Drosophila melanogaster: one gene and its partners. The protein of the gene in region 1 interacts with the protein of each later gene in a pairwise test. Each region holds a gene or a part of one and is shown on either strand. Other genes may lie near its edges.

What was found.
Region 2: the proteins of Hexim (region 1) and S6kII interact in a two-hybrid assay, tested with the Drosophila melanogaster proteins (one large-scale study listed by BioGRID).
Region 3: the proteins of Hexim (region 1) and Acox3 interact in a two-hybrid assay, tested with the Drosophila melanogaster proteins (one large-scale study listed by BioGRID).
Region 4: the proteins of Hexim (region 1) and Rchy1 interact in a two-hybrid assay, tested with the Drosophila melanogaster proteins (one large-scale study listed by BioGRID).

What each region holds. Positions count from the first base shown.
Region 1 is NT_033777.3:14,657,664-14,661,708, reverse strand, and holds Hexim (hexamethylene bisacetamide inducible), read right to left. Parts: upstream 2,272-4,045; 5' UTR 2,149-2,271; coding exon 2,094-2,148; intron 1,966-2,093; coding exon 1,399-1,965; intron 1,335-1,398; coding exon 874-1,334; 3' UTR 532-873; downstream 1-531. Other genes in the region: Rad17, read left to right, coding at 1-366; CG3505 (uncharacterized protein), read right to left, coding at 2,532-3,229, 3,302-3,449, 3,887-4,045.
Region 2 is NC_004354.4:22,528,050-22,535,984, reverse strand, and holds the start of S6kII (ribosomal protein S6 kinase II), read right to left. Parts: upstream 6,022-7,935; 5' UTR 5,635-6,021; coding exon 3,483-5,634; intron 3,130-3,482; coding exon 2,546-3,129; 3' UTR 1-2,545. Other genes in the region: CG17600 (uncharacterized protein), read right to left, coding at 6,594-6,715, 6,773-7,243, 7,404-7,892.
Region 3 is NT_033779.5:6,444,532-6,449,598, forward strand, and holds Acox3 (Acyl-CoA oxidase 3), read right to left. Parts: upstream 3,332-5,067; 5' UTR 3,319-3,331; coding exon 3,076-3,318; intron 2,905-3,075; coding exon 2,770-2,904; intron 2,710-2,769; coding exon 2,219-2,709; intron 2,143-2,218; coding exon 1,665-2,142; intron 1,601-1,664; coding exon 1,330-1,600; intron 1,266-1,329; coding exon 1,111-1,265; intron 1,047-1,110; coding exon 756-1,046; intron 699-755; coding exon 588-698; 3' UTR 539-587; downstream 1-538.
Region 4 is NT_033779.5:6,459,662-6,467,662, forward strand, and holds the start of Rchy1 (ring finger and CHY zinc finger domain containing 1), read right to left. Parts: upstream 6,009-8,001; 5' UTR 5,868-6,008; intron 4,479-5,867; 5' UTR 4,183-4,478; coding exon 3,601-4,182; intron 1,056-3,600; coding exon 894-1,055; intron 821-893; coding exon 662-820; intron 334-661; coding exon 55-333; intron 1-54. Other genes in the region: HemK1 (HemK methyltransferase 1), read right to left, coding at 6,863-7,103, 7,158-7,678, 7,738-7,947.

The DNA of each region.
Region 1 (4,045 bases):
TATCTGCCGCATTTTAAGGAAATCGATGATGTCGTGACCGCCATAAATGACTTGGGCCTATCAGATTGCATGCTCAACGAGTACAGAGATGATAATTTGTCTGTGATGGGCTTAAACGTTGCCATACGAGGAGTTATGATGTCCAATACGTGCCCTGTCAGCGGATGGATGCCTGTTCGAGGACCCAAGCGAATCAATATACAGCCACAGGCAACTTTGGCCGAACAAAGACTGGTGGGTGTGGGCTACGCGGGCATTGCCAGGACGCTCTACGCCACGGAGTACAGCTCATTAGTTAAGTTAATAGCAGGCAAGCCTGTGGATACTACTTCAAGCCAAAGCACAGACTCAAAACAAGACTTTTAGTAAATCAAAACTATTTATCTGATGTTAAAACTAAAGTAGCAAGGAAGTTTTTAAAAAATGTCCCTAGGACCAAATATGATATCTAACAATCGCAAAACCCAGTTTATTATATAAATTAAATGTACTGCGCATCCCACCGTAAGAAAATGAATAGCGGTAGTTATTCGAATTCATGTTTTAACTCTTTATTTATCTACAAATCGATTTTTCATTATACAAAGTTCCATTAAAATCAACACTTCGAGGCAACACCGCTAAACTATACACCATACAGACCAACAAAAATACAATTGGGAGGCGTCGTTTGCAGATAATAAAGTAATGCTAATTCTTTCTGATGAATGCTTTTTGATGAGCTATTTGATGATTGAAAGGAACTCCTCACAATTTAGGCGTCCACAGATGACTTAAAAACTAAACAAGGATTATGTCCATTTATCGCCACATTCTACCACAATTGAGTCTTTTATTTACACACGGCGGAGTGACATACTCTTCTATTTTATTCTATTTGACAACTGCATCGGCTGGCCTGGATACATCGCTGGAGTTGTCGTCCTCCTCCATTTGATTTCCATCTAGCAGGCGCTGACGCTCCTCCTCGTTGGCATGACCATTCAGGTGGATCGGTGATCTAGACCTGGAGCGGGTGCGGCTCCTCTCGTGCCGCTCGGCATGCCCATTGGCTATGTTCAGGCCGGCCACGCCCATTTCGTGACCATCGCTGCTGGTCGAGGAAGTGGTGGACGTGGTGCTCGACGTGGTGCTGCTGCTGTCGCTTTCGCTGTCCTCGCTGGTGGAGTCCATGGGTGTGGGTTGTGGCTGCTGGGGAGGCTGTTGTCTAGCCTGCAGCTCGCAAGCTGAACTGGGAGTGGGCGCCACCGCTGAGGGCGGGGAAGCTGCGGCCGCTGCTGCTGCCGCTGGTCCAGCTGTCGCGGAACACGTGCGCAAGAGGTGGGTGCGCAGAACTGGAATAAAAGGCACAAGTTATAAATTTTCCTGGTTTTTCAAATTATTAAAGACATCGCATACATTGATTCTCACGTGATAGTTGGCGAATCTTATCATCCTGCGCTCGTAATTTGGCTCCAAACTCCTTGGATATGTTCTGGGCCTTCGAATATCGATCTTCGATTTGCATGCACTCCTGGATGAGCTCCTGCTTGCTCATCGTCTCCAAACGTTCGAGCCGCGCTCGCTCGTAGACATCGGAGAACTCCTTGGAAAGGAAGAGCACCTGATCTTCGGTCTGGGAGCCAAAACAGTTGTCGTCGGAGTCATCTTTGTGCAGCTCCGACATGTGTTCCTCCATTAGGAAGCGGTTCGTGTTGTACGGAACGAGCAAGGAGCGCGAACGAACCAGCTTGGTTCTGCTATTCTGTCGTTGATTCCCCTCCAGCGTTGCTCCTGCACCCGTTGACATATCGAGTTTCCACTGCGGATAATGGTTCTTGGTCTTCTTGGGCTGCATCTTGGATTTTTTTCCCCGCCGATGTTTCCTCTTCGGCATTCCCGAGCCGCCTCCTACAGCGACACCGCCTCCGCCACTGGCGCCCCCTCCTCCGCCGCTATCCAAAGGTCGTTGTTGGGAGCCACTTTCTGGAAAGAGCAAGAGGACCAAATTCAAATTTGAACCGCCAAAATACTCGAAAATGCAACTCTGCCCACTGCAGGGGCAAAGGAAAGAAAAAAACAATCCAATAAGACAGTCGCCATTTGTCGCTTGCCTTTTTCAGCGCTCCCCGAGTGACGATTTTTACCATTTTTTACAGCTTCAGCCATGTTGCCAACACAAATACTTAATTTATTAAGCACTTAATTAACACTTTAAGCTATAACTGGAGATTTGTTGCCGATTTGTAGGTTTGCGATTTTTATACTAAGCGAACTAAAACTCGATTGAAGTGTAACCAGGTGCTGACGCCGGAGTCCCACATAAAGTTCTCCGCCTAACGCGACCAAAAATACCCCAATTGCTATCACATTGAATAATATTAGGCGCCAATTTCAAAATAAATAAGAAAATCTCCATATTTTAAAGACAATCTTTCTACTTTGTTACCCACAAGGTAAGTTATTGAAATATTGTTTCTGAATCAAAAGATTTAGTTATTATTTTAGTTTGTTTTACTGAACATTTTGTTGTACCAAGTATTTACTTCAATCTATGCTTTGAGACTGTCGTGAATCCAATCGATGTAGGACGCCACCCTGGTGTAGACATCCGGCCAGTCGGGATTGGGGCAGGGAACGGGTCCGAACGACACCAGTCCACCGAGCAGATAGCCATCGTTCTTGAACAGCATCAGTGGTCCACCAGCGTTGCCGTAGCACTCCTGGGAATTGGTCAGGCCACAGAGCTTCGAGGCTTGGATGCGCAACTGCTGGCTGGCGTACTTCCTTTGACACTCCTCAATCGAACTAATGGTCACATAACCTTTTCGCATCCTTTGCGAGGAACTAGCCTGCCATCCGGCCACCTCGGTGACCAGGTCCTCCAGCTCGTCCGCTCGCAGCTGCTTGTTGGGCAGGCAAATGGGTTGCACAAAGTCGTTGAGCTTGGCAGGACTTGCCAGTCGGACGAGGGCAATGTCGTTGATCTGCGTCCTGTCGGTGCGATTGTAGAGCGGATGTGGAAGCAACTCCTCGATGGCTATGTCCTGGTAGGGAGGCGCGCAATCCGCCACTTTACTATCCTCATGGTACTGACAGTCGGGATTCGTGCTAGTGTCCCATTCACCCAACCGGACAGCAGTAATCTGCAGATTGCTAGTCGCCGCCTGGGCCACACAATGGGCAGCAGTTAGCACATACCGATCACTGATAAGCACACCGCCACACGCATGGATCTTCTCCTGGTTGCCTGCGGAGTAAAAAAGGTGGGGATTAATACTGTGACCTACATATACATATATTACCAAAACCGGCAACTCACCGCGCGTATACTCAATGAGGGCCAGCCAGGGAAACTCCCGGATTCGCGTATCTGTGTCATTCGAACGCTGCCAACGAACCTTTCCGCAATCCGAGGGCAAAAGTGGGTGGGTCAGGGCACCCAAGCCGGCGGTACTAGGACAGCATACCTAGAAAAACAGTGGCTTTATCATTATATTATAAAGTATATCTCTTTTACGAGGAACTCCCAAAAGCGTACTCGAATAACGAGTTTTTTTTTATGATACAGTTTGAGGTCACTTATTTTTACAAAAAGTTTCCTTAACATTAACAATGGAAGTAATTAAAATATTTAAAAGGAGAATGATATCTCATTTGAAACCATTCGTATTATCAAAATGTGGTGTATTTCCCTATTCAAATCGTTTACAAGTTCTTATCTGTAGAAAATGATAAGAACGCAAGCGTTTATAAAATTCCAAAAAAATGAAGCTGGGCAGTGAAAGTGAAAACCAGAACAGGCCCAATATAATCGAGCTTGTTTTATTTAGTAGCGCTTAATGGATCAAGTTGTGGAAGTTCGAGTTCAATTGGGTAGGGAGAGATACTGTGGTGAATCACCCACCTGGACGTCGTTGCCCCGCACTCCGCACTGATTATCACGGAGCAGGTTGCGATCGCTCTGGCTGAGATTGCCGGATAGCAGGATTCTCATGAAGTAGTCACACTCCCGGATCGAAATGCAGTGACCGGTGACACGGCCACTCGGAATTTTTGCAACACA
Region 2 (7,935 bases), on another chromosome or scaffold:
CCCAATTAGATCGAAACAATTCGAATTGGTTATTTGTTTTTCAATTAGGTTCCTTCTGCTTGGTTTGAAAAATTCAACTTAACAATAATTTCGAATCAGTTTCGTTGAATATGTTTATTAATTAAATGATTCATATCGGAATTCAATCATTTGAATGTATGTATAGTCTGGAAGCTGTTAAAATCTACTAAGAAAATATATTCACGCATTCATATATATGATTAAGATATATATGTATGTTCTTGGGGAATTTAGTCGAGAGTTGGCTTTAAAGTGGGTTGCTTGTATTGTATGCTTAAACTATCTGTTGTCTCTGTCCTTTTTGTGCAACCCGAACATTTTTGTAAGAGACCGTTCGGAATTATTGATAAATGATTACAGTTTTTATCATAGTAGGCCACTTTTGTATACATGAGTTTTAATCTAATCGCTGGATTAGATTTCTCATCAGCCCGTGGACTAAAATTCTTTTTCTGCCTGTCTCAACTTCGTTTTATAATTTGTGTATGAATCTGTTAAAAAACGAAGCAGGGAAACGACGTATCCCTTCAATTTGGTTGTCGTCATTTCAAAACAAGGTAATTAAGTATAAATCATTGCTGTAGACGCAACATATTTTGCAAAAGTTTATCGTGACAACTATTAGGCGAAATGTTCATCTCAAGATCCTTCTTAAATATTTTCTATATTATATGTCAATGTGTACACATTGTTTTCCCTCCGCAGCTAGCTAATTATATATGTACTTTAGGATAATCATACCATTTTCCCCCTCCAACTCCTTTTAATAACACCACGAAAATACAGTTTTATTCAAGGGATGTTATCCTTTTTTAAAAAATTTCTAAGTTTTACTAACCTTGTTTAGGTGGTGTAAATATGTATATGAAGTTATTGTTTTATTTTTGGTAGCAGTAAGTTCAGTAGTGGCACAGCACAATAATCCTTTAGCACACACACACATGCACTTACAAGAAGCACACACACAGCCTCTTATGCACACACACAAGCTCGCAAACAAGAAACTTCTGCTTTTCAAGTGGCATACATAGCTTCTAAGGATTCACATGGCTCTTCTACATAATTTATTCAATTTCGTTCCACTTTGCTTGTATTTTCTTTTTTTTTTTTTGTATATTTCCCTCTAGCATAATTTTAACAAGTTTTCCTTGGCAAAAATACAACAAAATTGGAATTGTCTTCGAAGAGTCGAAACAAGTTGTTGGGAACTGATGATCGTGCAGTTTTTAGAGAAACTAGCACAAACAAATGGAATTCTCTGCATTAACCCAAGTCGTTTATACGACGCTATCCTATTTGTATTCAGTACGAGTATGATGGAATATATCGCGGTTTCGGTTCTAAATCATCCAATGGTAAGTCGGAACTTTCTATATCTGGTTACAGCGCAAAAAGGTATATTGTTTGATATAATTTCTGTTGGAAGACGTTAGCAAACAAAATGGAAACCCAATTTGATGTTGTCACAACTGTTTCCCCGGCGTTATTACAACTAAACTGTGCGTTTCGCGACTGTAAGACAAGTTAGCAGGATTTACGTTTCTTAATTACAATTAAATAACAATATGCACCCTTGTGCAGTGTTGGAAAGAACGTCGGTTTTTATTGTTTAGGGAATTATTAATAAAATACTCTTTTCTAATATCCTTTGCCTTATAAACCCGAAAAGCACAGTTTCCGCTTTATGTACACATTCTGTATAATATGGTAGTTATGTTTATCTTTTGCTTAGTTTCATATTTCATTGTGCAAATTGACATTCCAAGTAAGAATTGTGGAAACTCTTGTGGTTTGATTTTCTTATCTTTCTACACAGTTTTTTTTGGGTTCTTTGTTCTTCCTTTATAGTTTGGCGAAAAAAGTTATTATTATATAAAAGGATTGCGGCTTTTATTCTTAATTTTTGTTTGTTTTGCTAATACTTTTTTCCATTTTTTTTTTCATTTTAATTAATTTAATTAAGCAACAATAACACGGTGATGTTGAAAAATTTAGCTACGATTAATTTAATTAAAAATATGTAAACTTGGGCGAGAGGCTTTTTTTTAATTTCCAGTTTGGGATAAATAATGTGGTTTCAGGAATCATCTGGGATGATCCTGGCGCCACATTCACACGCGCTCTCTAGGCCCTTGCTTTAGGATTCGTTATATAAATAGCTATATATAGATGTATATCAGTATTTGTATAGTTATATATATGTGTATATAGATGCCCCGCACAGTGCGTTATGGCCTTGGCATATTGGCATGCTTTCATATAAAATAAATAATTAACACTTGTCAAATACTTTAGGTTAGGCCGATTCCCCCAAAACCTAAACCACACGCAGCTTGGCGCTGCGGCAGCGTTGGCGAGGATTGCCCAGCGTTTGTGGATGTGAACCAAGCTTCTGCGCATTGTCCTTGACAAGACGACGCGGATTGGCACAGCAGCATTGGATTAGAATACTATAGATTCGGAAAAGTAGTCGGACTATCTGCCGCTTGGCCTGGCGCCGCGGACACCATGCAGCCGCCCAGGATTAGGAGTGCAGGTTGGCTCGATCTTTGGCCCGCCTCTTGGCGAGCATGGAAAGTTCTACGGGTCCCACATTCGCCGCCTGGGGTATGGCAATAGCCCGGAAAGTGGCATCAACAGCGCCTCTTAAGGCCATGGAGATGTGATTCTGCTGCTGCTGCTGGGCGCCCAGCGAAAGTTGGGATCCGGGCGCCACCGCATACTCTGTAAGCTGTACGCCGCCGGCGAATTGCTCCCGCAGCCAGTCGTGCTCAAGTATTCGCGCCGCCGTCGGCCGATTCTCCGGTACTATGTGTAGCATCTGACGCAAAAGTTCTTTGGCCGGCACACTGATCAGTGCCCAGCGACTGCTTGTGAAGTCAATTTGTCCTGATCCGATGCGCTTCAGTATTACGTCCGGTGAATCATTTGGAGTGCTGGCGAAAGGCGTCCGGCCGGATAACATGATGTAAAGCAGCACACCGAGCGACCAGATGTCGCAAGCCAGGTCATAGCCCTGTCTCTTTAGAACCTCGGGAGCCACAAAATTGGCTGTGTAGCATGGCGTCATCAGGAGGCCGTTGTCCGCGCGCAGCTGCTTCGCGAAACCTAAGCGGAAATCGGAAGGTTACTCCTGCTCTACCAACAAGAAATACTCGCACAGAAAAATATATAGCCTTGCAGAAATAAATGCTTTCTGAATTTAAATATTATCAAATGATTTCAATTGCAATAGGATGGAACTTTGGCTAAATAAGATCTTAAAATGAAAAACCTTCTGTTTGGAGAAAAGAAACCTTTAAAATTGCAAATAACAAAGTAACTTAGAAAACAAATAATAGTTAAAGGAATTAAAAATTACGAAAGTTTAGCTTTTAAAGTGAATCATGTTTGTCAGCAATTGGAAAATTTACTGCAAGGCTATAATAAAATATATTTAACTAGTTCCGCTCCGCACTCACCCAAATCGCAGAGCTTTAGGGTCTCGGGAGTTTGCCGCATACTGGCATATATCATATTTGAAGGCTTAAGATCTCGATGGACCACGCCATGTTCATGGAGATATGCTACCGCAGATGCAATTGTCCTTAACACCGCGCTGGCCTCACTCTCGCACATCTGGCCCACGGCAAGTATCCGATCGAGAAGCTCGCCACCCTTAAGCAGCTCCATCACAAGATATGCGGACCCCGCATCCTCGTAAACAGAGTACAGAGTGACGATATTTGGGTGGTTGCCGTACCTCAGCATAATCTCCACCTCCTCCCAACAATCGGCAGAAGTGGATGTGGATGCTGCGGCCACAGCTGCCTTTTCGATTACTTTTACTGCGTAATGTTTCTTGGAGGCTCGATGCTCGCACAACCGACAAACTGAAAAGGTTCCACGTCCCAGTTCTTGCAGTAGATTATATTCCGCATGGAAGTTTCCGGGAAGAACACCAGGTAATGTTCGAGGGGCTCCCACTGGAGCAGCAGGAATAGGAGCTATACTATGCAGAGGACTGGCGCTGGTGGAGCACATATTCGAGCCAGCACACTGACCTTCCAGAAGGACAGGAGCCACAAAGCTGAACCCGCGGAAGATCTCATGGGCAGATGCGGAGATCGGGCCACCCGGAGAATCCCTGGGGGACTTTGAGGTGTACTCCACATCAAAGTAAAAGGCATCGTCACGGCTAACCGCCGGTATGAAAGGCGGACGCACCTGCTTTCGTTCTAATCTCACCCAGTCGATGGTGGCAAAAAAGCAGTGCGCCTTGATGTCCAGAATTCCTTGGGCACCCGCACCCAAACGATTCTGGGGGTTTCTTTTGAAGAGAGCACGTAGCAGGGATTGCGCCTCTGGCGACAAATTCTCCGGCATGCCCAGCTTACTTCTAAGGATCTGATTCATAGTCTCTTGGCGGGTTTGGCCATGAAAGGGTAAATTCCCCGTTAACATTTCGTACATGAGCACCCCGAAACTCCACCAATCAGCGGCAAAATCGTGTCCCTTTCGGTTCACGATCTCCGGCGCCATGTATTCTACGGTTCCACAAAAGCTATATGTTTTTGAGCCATCCAAAGGCTGCTTGGATAGACCAAAGTCCGTCAAGGCTATATGGCCATGCTCGTCCAGTAGAATATTTTCCGGTTTCAGATCCCTGTAGATAATGCCCAATGTGTGTAGGTGATTCATAGCTAGCGCCAGTTCCGCTAAATAGAACTTGACATCTTCTTCCGTAAACATTACTTCTTTGGATAGACGGGTAAACAGATCACCGCCACGAAGAAAATCCAGTATCAAGTAGAGTTTTCCGGGAGTTTGGAAGGCATAGTGAAGACGTACGATGAAAGCATGACCCACGTCCGCTAGTATTTTTCGTTCATTTGTGCTCCTTACGCGATCTTTTACTTTTAGGGTGGCCTTTTTGAGCACCTTCATGGCATAGAGTGTTCCTGCATCTTTGCCTATGATCTTTCGCACTAGAAACACCTTTCCAAAGCTACCTTCGCCCAGAACCCGTAGGAGCTCGAACTGGGAAGGATCGGCCTTGTCGTGACCCTCCTTGATGACTTCCTTAAGCTCGAATTCGTTTTCTGTTTCATATAGGGGCTCGGTGTCTTCTAAATCAGGTGCACTTCGCCCAGTAGCCCCTTCTCTCCTACCGCCAGTTTCCACGCCTCCCTGGGACTCGGAATCACTCAGCTCCATAAGTTCTGGCGGCGGGCACAAGGTTCGATGCGTCGGCCTTTTCCTAGCGGAATCCAAGTCTGCTGTTGGTGAGATGTGATGCTGCTCGAGGGCCGCTTGCAGAGCAGATTGCTGTTGCACCTGTTGCAGCTGCTGGCGGCGTTGCGATGATGTCACAGTGGTCACCGAGGAAGTGACACCGCTGTTGCCTCCGCCACTCTCATCGTCCTCGGTGGGCGTGTGCTCCATGGGCGTGACCGCCAGGCTGCTGCAGCCGGACGAGGTAATTTGCATGCGCTGGCGCAGCTGCAGACCCAATCCGCTGCTGCTGCATTGCTGCTCCGCATTGTTGCTGCTGCTGGTGGAGGACACATGCTGCTGCTGCTGCTGCTGCTGAGGCTGCTGGCGGAGATCCTTTTGCGAATCGGCCAGCGGCATGACTTCGGTGGCTGCTAGCGTTGTGAGGCAACTGCTCCTAGCGGTTCCTTTGTTTCCAGATCCTGATGCACAATGCTAGAGCCCGAGTTCCCCCTGCGTTTCCAACTCCTCCTGCTGCTCCTCCTCCACCGAACTCTCCCTACTTCCGATTTCACTTTTCTTTTTTATTACTTCCGCTGCGTGGGCGTCGCAGTCGACTGCGCTGTTGCCTCTCCGGATTTCTCTGGTTTCCCTGCTGCTCCTACGGCCAACAAGCAGCGCTTTCCTAATGCGCCCACGTTTCGTACGCCGTCTGCTTTACTATCCGCTTCGCAATCCGCACAGCTGTGTTGCTTCTTATCACTATTATTTACACATTCACAATAAAGTTTTTTTAGAGCTGCAAAAAAATCGATGTTACCATCGATTACATCGATAGTTTCAGTTTTCCGAAAACATCGATTTACTTTTTGCAGCCGATGTTTTTACTGTGCGTATTCAGCAAATTTTTGTTTACACTTTTAATACATTCTTTCGGTTTTAAAAGTCTATATAACTCAATTAAAAAAAAAAAAACATATAAATATAGTTTTATTTGAGAATGATTTGGCCCGTGTGACCGTGTCTAGCAATATACCAAACGCGAAAAATACCAATTCATTACGAAAACGTCGTCACGAAACAAGTTATCTTGTGTAAACCGTCTAAAAACCGTTATTATAAATTTCTATATCCCTTTTATATTGATTTCCGGAAACTTTGCTAAATAAATACAACGGTTTTGCAGACTTACTTACTTATATTAGCCGCAACATTCCAAATTCAATTGGTAAAAAACTAATGGATATCGTACAAGCGCTTTTAAAAACAATAAAAAAAAAAACATTGTGCTTATAGATTCAGTATTATTATTGCTTCAAAAGTGGACAACAACCACTTTTCATATATAAAAGTAGGAGTAGTAGGAGTAGCTTACTTACTTAGTGCAAATCTGAAGGGCGCAACGATAGACGGATACAATACTGACCACAAAATGAAGAAACAGGGCAAAAATTAGGCCGCAGGCAGCGGAAACCTCGCTGTTGGTATCGATCAAGTCGAACTAGAATGGATGAAACCATTAAAAAAACATGCCTCAATGCGAAGAGCCCGGCTTTACCTGTTCACCCTTTTGCTCCGCCATCCTGTTGAGGTCCCTTGACAATCCCACGCCGGAAATAGCCAGAGCCAGGGTGCTGCTGGCGATGCAGACCAAACTGAGGGCCAAAAACGCTGTCTGGGTTTTGCGCATGCTCACCACTCCAAGGGAGCCCGTAACGGCTGCTATCAATCCCGTCCAGATGCCGCATCCCGCCAGTGAGAGCGCTGCCTCTCGGACGATCAGAAGTGATCCCAGGGCCACCAGCGATATGGCCAGGAGCAACTGGAGAGTGCCCAACACTATTTGCAGTGGAAATGCCGAGCAGCATTCATTGCTCGCCTTGCGCTTGCGCCGATCTTTCGAGGAAAGCGATGAGCCACTGCCTCCACCCTCGCTGCCCTCCTTGTACTTAATAAATTCCGGTGGACAGCGCTGTTTACGACTGATCCTGGAGTCCAAAGTGGTGGCCCCACTCTTAGTGCCATTCACCTGCACAGAAGAAAAAATGTGTTTGGTACAATATTCGATTGTCTGAGGATTAATGAGAGCAAGGCAGTACAGAAATGGACAATTAAAGATTCTCTAGCCCTATTAGGTGATTCAACTGATACAAATTGATTAATTTTGGTTGACTTTTTGTAGGACCTACCTGGTTTGGTTGCCGCGAAGCAATAGCTTCCTGCAGCTGTTGTTTGAACTCTTGGTGCGAAATAAGATTGGGCTTATTATCGTCATCATTGTTTGCCTGGGATTTTTGGGCATCCAAGTCTAGGGCGGCGGATAGGAGTTTCACCGCCGGCGGCTTCTCATCGTAGACAGGACTCGAATAGATGTGACTTTGGGCATCCTGGCGCGCCTGCTCCTGGTCCTCCTGCTGTTTTCGATTCTCATCCCGTTGAAGCATGCCGATTTGCGAGTTGGTCAGACTACCGCCCGATCCCGCCAAGTTCGTGGTATTCGTGCTATGTTCGATGGTGGTCACCACCTGATGGAGTTCCTCAGGATTCAGGCTGCGATCCACAATGGTATCCATGCTGCCGGTGGTGGAATCATGCGAATCAATGGTGCGGGCCGGCGATGCCGAGTGGCGGCCATTGAAATCTTCGCCGCCAGGCTGCTGATTACTGGTCTCTGTCATTTCTGCTGATTGGCTGAGATGATTGGGTTATGATGATCGGTGA
Region 3 (5,067 bases), on another chromosome or scaffold:
TAATCCAATAAAATTAAAAGCCAGAAAAACTAGGCCCATTGAAATCTTAGTTGCAAAATAAATGAACATATATCAAATAAATACAGTCCACTACTGTTATAAATGCAACTAATATACTAATGTACATCTCAGCTTGCTGGCCCTTTGGCAGAATGTTCACACATGAACACGAATATATTTAAAGACTTACAATTTTGGGCTCCGTTCATATCTTATGTAAATGAATCGAGAGCGATAAATTATATTTAGGATTTTGTTATCTAAGGCGACATGGGTGCATTGCTCAAAAACATGTAATTTAAGTGCACACTACATGAGTCAGTCACTTGAGATCGTTCCCCGCCTCCTAAAATAGTCCCTTAGTGGGAGACCACAGATAAGGTCCTCGCCGCTCAAGATAGGCAGATGTGCCCGAGCGTGGGACCTCGATAAGGCGGGGACTATTTACTTAGGCCTCTGCGTAGGCCATTTACTTTAAGATGCGATTCTCATGTCACCTATTTAAACCGAAGATATTTCCAAATAAAATCAGTTTCTTACAAAAACTCAACGAGTAAAGTCTTCTTATTTGGGATTTTACAGTGAGTCTACAATTTGGCGCGCTTAAGGTAATCCTTGTAGGTAACATCACGCCACCAATGAGGACGCTCGTAGACACCTGGAGTGGAGACAAGCGTGCGCTGCAGATGCTGGTAGACCTGCGAAAGGATAGAATCTTTAGTAAGAGTAGCAGTTGCTTATGGTAGACCACTTACGTTTCCATCGCTCATGCCCAGAGGAGAGTTTAGAATAAAGTCTGTGGGAGCAATGGCATCCACCAGAGCAATGGCTTCGTTCTTCAGCAGGGGAAGCAGAGCCAGAATGCCCTGTTCGTACAGCTCCAGTTGGTTAGAGTTTTCGCGGAAGTAACCACCGCGGTAGAAAGCAGCGGAGTACTTTGTGACCAAGTGGGCGCCATAGAAGGAGAGCACCTGCTGCAGTACCTTCTTCTCAGCAGAGTCGGGCAGACCAATTACAAACTTATAAAACACGTAGTAGATGGTGCGCTAAAAGAATATTAAACTTGGTTATTTTACTATTTAGTTGGGGTTTAGAGGGTTGGCATCTCACCTCGCCGTAGATAATGGAGAGCTTCTGGGCGGCAAAGACCTGGATGTTGTTCCTCGTCTCAAAGGCATCCTTTCCTTCGCGCTGCTGTTCCTCAACTCGTTTCACCGTCGTATCCAGTTGCCAGACGGTAAGCCAGTTGAGGGCATTAAGTAGATCTATAGAAGTGCAATAAAATTGCGTTATTCCTATCTTATATTTGGATAACTAAGAAATACTCACTGAGCGGATCCAAAACTTCGGCAGGAGTTCGCTCCTGACCCTTGCTTTGCAGAATTGTGTCCATATCCTTCAGGAAGGAGACTGTCTCCAATGGGGAAACTGCCACGAAGTCGGCATTGTTGCGTTGCAGACTGATCAACCAATTGGACGCTTGCTGGATGAGCGTGTTGTTCTCGCCCTCATAGGTGCAGTTGGCATCGTTGTCGTTGCGAAGTTCGCCCAAGCCAGAAGATTTAAGATAGCCATGACCGCCACAGGCCTCGCGGCATTCCTGAGATTAAAACAATATAACCGATAAGTAAAAGTGGTTATATACATATATAAAGCATTCATACCTGGATGCCATCCCTGGCAGCCCAAGTGGCAACTGGTTTGAGTGCCGATGAGATCGCATGGATCTCCATGCCCGCTTGCGACGTGTCCTCGCCAGTGAAGCCCTTCATGGTCAAATCCACGTTCTCTTTGCCTATCCAGAGTGTGGCCACCCGCAAGGCGATTGTGGTGGCCAAGTGGGGAATTAGTCGGTATTGCTGTGACTGATACTCGATCACGGGCCACTCCGCCGGGCTGTTGGTAGGGCCAAACTGGCGTCTGCTGGCCGCATAGCGAGTGGCAATTGTCACAGCCTTGCTCAAGGCCACATACGTGATAGCAGTGATATTGACGCGACCCACGGAGAGGGCACCCAAGGAGGCGCCAAGGCGCTTACGCTCGTCCTTAATTTTACTGGTGTAGTTTCCCTGCGCATCGATGTCACCGGTCTTGGACAGCAGATTTGCCTTAGGGATACGATACTGGTTGAACATCACAAATCTGCAATGCCAAACAAATCGAAATTATTTCTGTTGCTGTTGATTAGTTTTATCAACTGATAGAAGAAAGTACTTGCCCGTTATCAATGCCATTGAGACCGATCTTTTCGCCCATATCGCCGACGGTTACGCCGGGGAATGGAAGCAATGTACGCTCGTCCCGAATGGGAACAAGGAAGGCCTGCAGGCCCTGGTGCTTGTCATCCGGCACGTACAGCTGGGCGTAGACGATTGCGTGCGTGCAAGTCTTGCCTAGATTACCGACCCAACACTTGGCCGCCTCGAAGTCTGGCGTGTGGATGATAAACTCCTGCCTTTTCACATCGTAGGTGGCACGGGTGCGCATGCCGAGCGCGTTGGTGCCGTGAGAAATCTCAGTGAGAGCGTAGGCGCCCAAAATGCGGTTGTCCGCGATCTTGGCCACGTACTTGCCCAGGCGGCCAGATCCGTTGGAGACCAGCGTGCTGGGGAACATGCCAGTTGAAAGGCCGAACTTGACCGAAGTGCTGAAATCGTAGCTAAAGATGGCCTGTCCGAAAGCAAGCAGAAGATGTGGGGTTCCAAGATACTGAAAGAAAGACAGGAGATTTAGGCAGCCACACTTTCAGGAGTACGCAACGCATCCTACCTCGTTGACGCCGTAGAACTGTTGCTCCCACAGAAGATGCTGCCGCTTGTTGGCCATTTCGCGGGTGCGTTCCAAATCGGATCCTGGCTCCCGCTGGTAGTCGGGGTGCTGTTCCATCCATTGCCACACCTTGTGCTAAAGACGGAGTGACATGTAAACGAATTACTCAAGTGTGCAGATAAGAAACGGGCGACGATTAGACCGGGCGGTTGGCGGCCTGCAGCTCCGACAAAAGCTATCGAGGCAGTCTGCACTTCGACCCCGCTGACCATGTACATATGTAACAAACTGGAAATGGTAACGAACCTTCAGCCGTATGTGATCCTCGCCCTCGAGCACCACGTTCATGCGCTTGTAGCAGAAGCTAGCCCGCTCACGGTACTCTTCCAAAGGTCCGCTACGGAAGTCGGGAAAGATCCGTTTGTCATCGTAGATGTTGGCTGCAGCCTTCTCCTCCCGGCGGCCGCTGTAATAGTCGCCCAGTGCGGTTAGTAATGAGTTCAGACCGTTTTGGTCACCACCATCGCCATCGCCTACTCCGCTCGCCATTGCCCAGAGAACTGGCTCTTGTTGGAATGTTGGATTGGTGGACGTTGTGGTCGTCAGTCGAGGCGATGGGGCTGTGGGGCAGGGGTACTTACTTTGTGCTCAATGCAACCATGTTGGAGTTCGATTCTAGCGACTGGTCTGGCTGCTTCGAATGCTAGGCGCGAAATGCTTGAAAGTCCAGGCACTCGTAACTATTATTGGTAAAATAGCCAATGTCCAATGGCCAGCGGCGATAAGAAGGAATCCGCTTATCCGCACTTCATGGCCAAGTAGCCTTTTAGTGGTTTGCATCCGCCGCGGATAAGATACGGGCCCTAGGAGAATGCGGGATTAGGGCGGCCCGTGCAGGTGGTGGTGGGTGCTGCCTGCGAAATTCGAATCTTTTAGCGGCCACAAACATTGCTTTAATTTCCTATCAGCCATCAGCCAACAACAAGCGCGATAAACAAACAATTTTAACCCAGTTTTTCACCATTGAAGATAACATAGTTTGACGTGACTTAAGCCATGAGAAAGAACGGTGTTATATAAATACAAAATGTGAAGTTTTTTAAATTCTGTTAATTATTATATAATATAATTATTTAATTATTATACATAATATACATAAATTTCATGTTTAATTTTCTTTAATATCACAATTCAATGTTTTCACAAAATGTTTTAGCGGGGGCGTTGCCAGACCTTCTCAAGGTAGCCAGGGCTGGAATAGTAGGTCTGGCGCGTAATTTGAATATTCTTTCTATCAGAAACGAGTCATTTGCTGGTCTAATTTTATCTATTTTGTTATATAAAAACATTACAATATATATAAAAACATTACAATCCACATTTAAAATATGAAAAGAGCATCCATATCCATACCATACAATTTTCATGGATTCTAAATTTGATTTTAATTAAAACTGTTGAATAGTTTATTTTTTTCAAGAGCCCACAATAAAATGCGAATATGTACATGTAATTGATCTAATAGCATTTATTTGATTACGTTCTTAATACAACTTACACACTTAGTTAACATGCACTCATTTTTCCTTCGTTATTGGCTTGTCAGTTTATTCTTACAATACACGTCAGATTATTTATAAAACTAAATTGTAAACATCCGCATAGTAATTCGTTTTTAATACAATAAATAATAACCAAAAAAACACACTGAAGTTGCCTTTTTTGATTTTAAAAACACTTTGGAGATTGATTGATATTAGCAATTAAGGGCGTACAAATGACGGGGTAATTAGTGTGCAATCAAAAACGTTCTGCATTCGAATGTTTAAAATACAATTTTACATTTATAATTATAATCTGACGTCTAGCTATAACCTACGTGTGTATTTCGAGTTCAAATCTTACATTTCACTCTTTTGTATAAGTTCTGGCTAAAATCCTTGCAATAAGCCATTTCGGCAATTTGTTTATTAAACTAATTAGGTAACACGTAGTTATTGATTACAATTTCAATTTTTTCTATTTTCGTTTCAGTGGCTGCGCAATCGCAATAAGTTCCTTAATTGTTGCTAAAAAATGTTCCATTAGAAAAAGCTATAAAAATTACGTCGCTTTTACATATATATGTACGCATTAAAACTTCATTTATAGAGCTGCTTACGAAAAATTCAAATTGACGATTCAAATAAAACGTTGCGTGATATTTTGGTGTTGCTCATTTAAACCGCTGATATTTCTAATTTTCTTAAGATTATCAATAATATGAATGCTTGTATATATTGAATGAATATAATAAAT
Region 4 (8,001 bases), on another chromosome or scaffold:
ATAAGGTTATAAGAGCTTTTCATGAATGTTAGTATTATGTATATCTAGTCGTACCTTGTGACAATCGTTGCAGAATATGTGCACTCGCTGATTCTCGTACTTCAGTGGCACCGGCATGCGCTCCGCCTGGTCGTCCAAGTATACCCACAGCGCCGTCATATCGATCAGCGAGGTCTGGCAGGTGGGACAGGTGTAGTGGCCGGAGGCCAGCAGCTGGTCGAAGCACATCTTGTGCAGCAGGTGTCCGCAGTCGGGAATGTGGCAGGGTATGCGCGAAGTGTGGATGTCGCCCAGGCACACGGGGCAGTGCGATCGCGAGATGTTCTCCACGCACTACGGGAAAATAGACACGTTGTCAATTAGCAAGGATTTAGCAATCAGCCATGCCAGTCTCTGGCCCAATTCGCTGTCAATTAATGAAGTCATTGCTTCAGCACATTTGACATTCATATCCACTCAACTGGATCCCAGATTGCAGATCGCAGATCATATATCGCTACATATAGCAATTAGGCAACCGGTTTTGGTAATGAATTGACAAAAAAAAAAAAAAGTTAATGTGTTTCTTTGATTTGCTTTCGAATCGCGGAGGTCAGCATTCCCACTTACAGGCCAAATCTTAATCAAGCCCAATGAAGTGCCAAATGTAGTACCAACTCACCCGGTGGCCATCGATCTTCAGCTGAATAGGTAGGCACATGTTGCACACCTCGCAGTGGAAGAAGTTCTCCGCACCGCCAATGCGACAAATCCCACATCCATGACAATGGTACTGCTGCTTGTCCGCATCATCGAAGAGGTTGCAGATCAGGCAGGTGTACTGTAAGTACATCAAAATGATATTACTAGTAGGGTTTTGCTGTGATTTTTGGACACCTGGATGGATATCTTACCTTACCAAATCTCACGCCGCAATTGAGGCACTGCTCCCGCACCGTTTGCCGCGTATTGCACTCGGAGCATATTAGTTCGGTGAGCGTTTTGCGATCGAAGTGATGCGTCTCGTTCTCGTCGTGGCAAAATCGGCACTTGTAGAACTTGTTGCAGCAGGGGGTCTGAGAAAGATATAGTTGCGTGATCAGTATCAGATCAAATTAGTGCTGAAAAGAAATCGCTGCTCGAAAAAATTCCACTTTAAATGGAGCTGAGATTGCTCCCCGCCACACCTGCCGATGGACTACACCCCTCAGTCAAGGACTACGAAAAACCTATTATCGAGCGGCAATTAGCACGACTCCTAACTCCCCAAATGGAGTTGCTAATTTAAGAAATCTGCCTGGAAACCGACTAAAAAACAAATCTACTAGTGACGTCTACATGCCAAAGGCAATAACTTAGCATTATCATAAACAAGGCACTTGAAACTGAATCGAATTTTGTACGAATTTCGAGTCAAATCAGCGGGTGAATCCCAATCCGATTGTAAAGATGCCAAAGGTACTCGTGTCGTTTAATTAGGTGGCTGCTAATTAGTTCACCTGTCGATGCACAGCTCGAACTACATGATATAGTTCTATCAGTTTTGTCTTGGGGATAAAGTTTGAAAATAAGTTAATTTATGCCCTTAATTATCTTGTGTATCCTCGAGTTCGGCTTAGTTACAGCCAACACCCAGCCATTTGTATCTGCCTCCAGCCTCGCGCACACATCTATCTCCACTATCTTTGAGAATTATTTATAACTTAACAACAGTTTTTTCGTATACAAGTATTTATTTCAACTCTGCTGCTGCTGCGATGATAACACTCGAAGTACAGAACCGAACCGGAGAAGAGTCTTCGAATCCGGTTTCTTTGTCATTCCCCCCGGCTTTCATTGCTGTGCTTCACTAACGATCGTATTTTAATGATCGTTTGCATCTGCAATTGGCTAACTCCAGACATCTCAAATTTATTTAGCCAAGACGAAACAAAGCTTCTAACACAAATTGATACAAGATTCGCGGGAACAGGCGATATCCATGGGGCATTGCTCCACTTGGGGGATTGCACATACTGCTCTCAGCTTATGTCCACATTCATGTATACATTTATTTCACGCACTGTCGGGCGAAAATAAATATTTGACTATAAAATAACCCAGCTGATTCAACACTCAATGGGCACCTCATTAGTGCACAAAACCCTCGCTTATCCGAATTTCTCGCGGTGCACAGACGAAAGCAAAAACCTCTACATTCGAATTTTATTAAAATGTGGGACAGATTGAAGCGTGTGTACGGATTTACGTGACATTTTTTGGAAAGTATTGTAAGGCCATAGCGCATAATACAGAATTTTTGGGGAATTAATAATTCATATCGCGAATTGGCTGCTTTTCAACAACAAATAAGCGCTCACTACTGTTGGAATTATAAGTATTTAAATATTTACATTTAACTTTCTTTTTCTTTATTTAATAATCCAGGTCATTCACAAACAAATCTATCTAATCAAGTGCAGCTGCAGTCTTCTCTGCATGAGATACTTTATACATGAAATGGTTACCACTTTCCCCAGCACTGAGTTACTTTTCCCACCTTCGAACTTCTGTACTTATCACCTTACGATAATTATGTCTGCTGGCTCTACTAATTGTTAAGGTAAAGAACCTGAATATAGCCGTGCTACGATTGCTTTATATGCACACACAACATTTTTAGATGCCCCATAATTTGTTATCCAAACGCGAGCGATCAAGACAAACGCATTGTTTGCCCAGATGAATGGCGAATGGAGGTGTTAACTGGCCAGTGGCCACTCGCCTCCTGCTCAGTTCCTGCTCAGCGGAGCATGCTGACCAGTTAGTTTTTTGGATGCCGGACATCGTCAAGCTGTCCACACAAGCCAAACACTTGCCGTGCAAATAGCGATGCCCTCCAATTGAATTCAAAATCTAGTCAGCAGACAGACACAAAAGAATCTTCGCCAAAGGTGTCTGTTTAGAGTTTAGCCACTTTATTTGTTTAGGAACGAATAAATAAAGGTTAAATGCGCCCATTTTCAGGAAGGTAGCTGTGTTGGATAGACACACACACACACATAGATAGATAGATGGATAAATAGGCATACAAATGCCATTTAGAGGCGCCATCATAATCTTCTTGAAAATTTTCCAAATGGGTGAAATGTTTAATGGCTTTATCACTTTGAATTTATTTCAATGTATTTTTAGGATTCATTTTATAAAAGTGAAATGACTGATCCGCTTTCTAATCATGACATAGGGGTTCCAATTGCATAATTCTTTATCTGATGACCCAGGAATTGAACTATACCCGTATAAAATAAAAAAAGAACTTTCAAAATTGAAGTTTGTTCTTATATCACATAAGTTGACTGGTTTCACATTTGAGGTTTGAATAAACTAATCTCACTACAAGTAAGACTGCTAGATACATGGATCCGTCTAGTCTTTCTACGAACATCTATCTACTAATCTTAAGAATGGTTATAGATACTACGATACACTAAAAAAGGATTAAAATTTGTATTGATATACATATCAAAGAAGTTCAAGTGTATAACTTTTATAACTTTTCTGGGGCTTTTCCTTTTATGTAATGCTTGGAAAAGCATCCATAGATAATATGAATGGAGTTGGACTGCCTGTTGCACTTACCACGAACATGGCCCGCCGCTTGTAGTGAGCGCATCCGAAGCGCAATGACTCCGGAGTTGTTGGCTGCGCACCGCAGATGTTGCTGCTGCACTTGTTGCTGTTGCAGCTGCCGTCGCTGCTGCTGCTGCTGCTGTTGCACGATGGCTGTGCATGCTGCTGAGCCTCCGCGGCGGGGTTACGTGAGCATGCTGCAAAGCGATGGAGCTGGTCCTCCTCCATGGGCTCCGCCATGCCATCGCAATTGAGACTCGGCGTCGATTTGCATCTTCGCAGCTTGGCGTGCGCTGGATGATACTTGCCCGTCATCGTTGTGGGCGTCACAATCAGCTGGTGTTGCTGGTGGAGATGGGGATTGGGATGGGGATGGGGATGGGTATGTGGCTGCTGCGCTATCTGAGCAAGTGGAAGCGAAGCGGGCAGAGCAGCCTCCGCTGAGGTCGTCGTGGCTGACGATGAATTTAAATTGACTTGATTGGGCTCCTTTGTATTGGTAACTATTTGTACATCGATGCCGCCGCTGCCCATGTATCTGTTGTGGTTTTCATTTAGCGATATTCGGCGCGTTCGCTGGCGGTTCTTCATTTTGCTGCAGGAGCTAACTCTATGTATATATAGAGTTATGTATGTACGTCTATAAAAGTGATTTTCCACTATGCCTCGCAGCTGCAGTAGTCGTGGTTAATTGCTGGCCCTTTCAATTGCCGCCGCGAAGCATTTAAATTACTGGCCGATGCTGTTGTCGTTGTGCCACATGTAGACTTTGTATCCGCACTCAAAAAACCGACTGTCCGGTTTCCCTTTTCACGCGATCGCAACTAACTTTCGTTTGTCCAGCTCATCCTTGGGTATTAATGGGCTCGCACAGGTGACACACTCGGCTGAAGCGATTGAAAAGTGTGGGAAAGTGGTAAGTATTCCATTAGCAGGCCATTTCTCACACTCCGATCGATCAGATTAGAGTCTAAGCCGGGTTAACCCCCCACACCCCCACACAATTTTTGACACACAAATGAAACTACCGAGGCGGCGTATTTGCATTTCAATGTTTCCCAGTCCCCGACTGCGAAAGGCCATCTAAACTAGATAACGACTATCTTGATTTTCACTCCGTTTTCTTAGCCGTCGCGCACTGTACACAACGTACAATGGGGAACAAGAAGTAGTAACTTTATGTAAGAAATTATCAAATAAAAGATCACCTATGATGACTTTCTTCCATTTCTGTATAGTTTTGGATCAGATATGGAAACCTATTAAACCCATATCATTATAAAATGACAATTAACCTGTTAAGAACCCAAATATGTGCATATGAACTACTATCTTGGCCGCTGCTGTTTTTGGATGGGACCTTGTGCCATGTGAGCGGCAGCATATAAATCGCTTGCTTAGCCTGCAGGTCGCCAAAAACGTTCACAGCTCCACGGATTGGGAATCGCAGTGCCTTGGCACACGGTGCGGATGATGAATTAAAATGCGGGCAGGGAGCAGCCAGCCACACACTTGTTAACACAATCGGCGTGCGACTTTCGCTCATCGGTTGGCTGTTGCTGCAAGTCGGTGTTGCACGTAGCAGGTGCACATATTGATGCTGCCAAAGGAGGCATTACCAGCTATATATAAATGTATATATGTACATACTTTTATATATACTTTTATTTGCACAGCGCGGCAAGCTGCAAATTCGTTGCCGAATCTTGTTTGCTCAGATTGTTATTCGCATTTTCTGCGCCGGGGAGCAGGGACCGACAATAAATATTGAAAGTGTGCTAAAATTACAAACGCAAGGCGATTAAGCCAGCCTCGCCGGAAAACCAGTCGGCGAAAAGAACGCAAGTTTGAACTCGATTCAATTCGGTATTCATGTTTACGCACGCACGCACTCACGCACACAGGCACACACTTGCACGCGTCGATCGGGCGGATAAATGCATTAAGTAATGTCACGATCTGGCTAATTGGTTTCTAAAAGTTTCCAATCCACATTCAAACCGCCTTCAAATCGCAGTTTGGGCGTATGTATATATATATACATGTACATATATATGCACATTCATTCATTTACCCAAATCTATATGGTCAAATTTATGTAGAATTTTTAAAATCAATTTCTCGTTTAACGTGTTTCTCGTTTTTGTTTTGTTTCGGCGCTTTTTAAGTTCCCTCTTCTTGACTTTCATCAAGCGCTCATTGTGATATCCACTGAAACTCCGACTTTAATTATGATTTAGCCATTTGTTAATTATACTACACATATGTATGCGTACTTGAAAGTGAAACAACACACACCAGCCGAACGAAGGAGATCGCAGCTCGAAATCGTCAATTGAATTAAAGAGCTACGACAATCTAAATCCGCGTTCCACTCGCGCACCCGGATTCCGCAGACTCGTCCGGCGCGAGTTTCGACTTCCAACTGGCAACGGAAGTTAGCCACTTGTTGCTCCGAGCCACTCTGTCGGAGCTTTTATCCGCTCCGGAGCTTAAAGCTCTCCAGCGGAGCGGTTACAACAAGATTCAGATGCGAAGTCGGGGGATTTATGCACTCGGGTTCATAATTATGGTAATCCTTGTGGACATGTGTCCTTGTTTTCATAATCAGTACACCTATAAGCATTAAAGTGGTAACTTTAAGCAAAAACTTTCTAATTTGCATAGAAATATTCTGATTCTATATATTGACAGGATACACATCTTTCAGGCCAAAAATATGGTTAGCATTTTGCTTATCGCAGATATAGAATACATCAGTTTGATTAAACAGCATTATACTCGATCCGCGATGATCATTAACACCCTCCAATTTATGGCAGCAAGCCTCTGGTTATAAATCATAATCGCCATAGTTTAAATCAGTGACCAGTTATTATAGGTGCATTATACTTTTAACCTATTGATCTTTAAAATCATGTTAATCCATTATTATAGGATCAAAAATGCAGTAGAAAGCCTTAGGTAAAAGTCGTTGTGGTTTTTGTATACTGATAATAATATGGTCATAAATCAAACAGCTAATTGCATTGTGCAATTTATACAGGTATATTTGTGAAGTAATACCGCCTGCGGTTGTTGCTAAAAGATTCAGAGACGAAACTTAAGGATTAATAGCGCTATATATTCTGTTTATATAGGTGTGAGTCTCTGGGCAGCGTGCAGGTATGTCTGGTCTTAAATCAAATCACAGCTAAATGCATGGGCAACGTTATAGCTAATTGCATTGTCAAAGTCATAGCATTCCGTCCTGTCTATGGCGCAATCTCGCCTAGACCTTCTCGATCTGAACGAATCTCTCGCGCTGATACTGGTCACTGTAGCCGGCGATGAACTTGAGCCGGCCCTCGTACTTCAGATTCATAATGGTCTTCACCATCGGCGGGTGGTCGTTGCCCAGTTCCAGCCAGAGCTTGCCACCGGGACGCAGGTGCCGACAAGCCAAGTCGAAAACCAGTCGAGCCACCCTCAATCCATCGGACCCACCGTCCAGGGCATTAAGGTTCTCATACCTGGGGATATAAGATAGTTAGTGCACTGCATCCATCTGGTATAACATCACTTACACCACGACTTCGGGATGCAGAAACTGAAACTCCTCAGTTTTCACATACGGAGGATTGGAGATGATCAAATCGTACTTCTTGTCCTTCAGCGCCTCCGGCAGGTACTTGTCCTCCTCCATGGTGTGGTTGTGTACCTCAAATCGATTCAGCAGCCCCAGCATTTTGGCATTCTCCGCAGCCAGAACGGTTGCCGCCTTGCTACGCTCAATGGCAGTGGCCACCACCTGCGGCAGACTGTGTAGCATGGACAAGGACATGGCGCCCGAGCCGCAGCCCACCTCCAAAAGATCGACGTGCTTTGCGTTCTTGTGATCATCGATCACCAGGCGCATAAACTCCTCCGTTTCGGGGCGTGGAATGAAGACCGACGGCGATGTCTTCAGCGTAATGTCCATGAAGTCCCACTCGCCAATGATGTGCTGCAACGGCATGCGGGCACAACGGGCCTCCAGGAAGCGCTCGAAATCCGCCAGCTGGCCGGGATTTAGCTGCAGCTGGTCAAATGAGTCAGGAACCGAACTCTACGGAACGTAAACATGGTTAGTGATGTTGATAGCCAGCTTTTCTCACAGATACTTACAAACTTCTGCTTCAGGACATGCGACACGATGCATTTCACGTTGAACTTCCTGTCCTCGACGCCGGCGGCCTTGAGCTTTTCCTCCCACTGTCCAATTTCCAGGGCCTTGGTCACGGGAATGTGGGTGCCAGCTGGGGCATTTGTGCCATAGTTGACCTGCTTAAGCAGCCGCGAGGTCGGGCCCATTGACCGTGTCAGTTGTCTGAGCATTATTTCACTTATTATCTAATTGCTATTGATTAACAACAAAATTTTGACGACCCA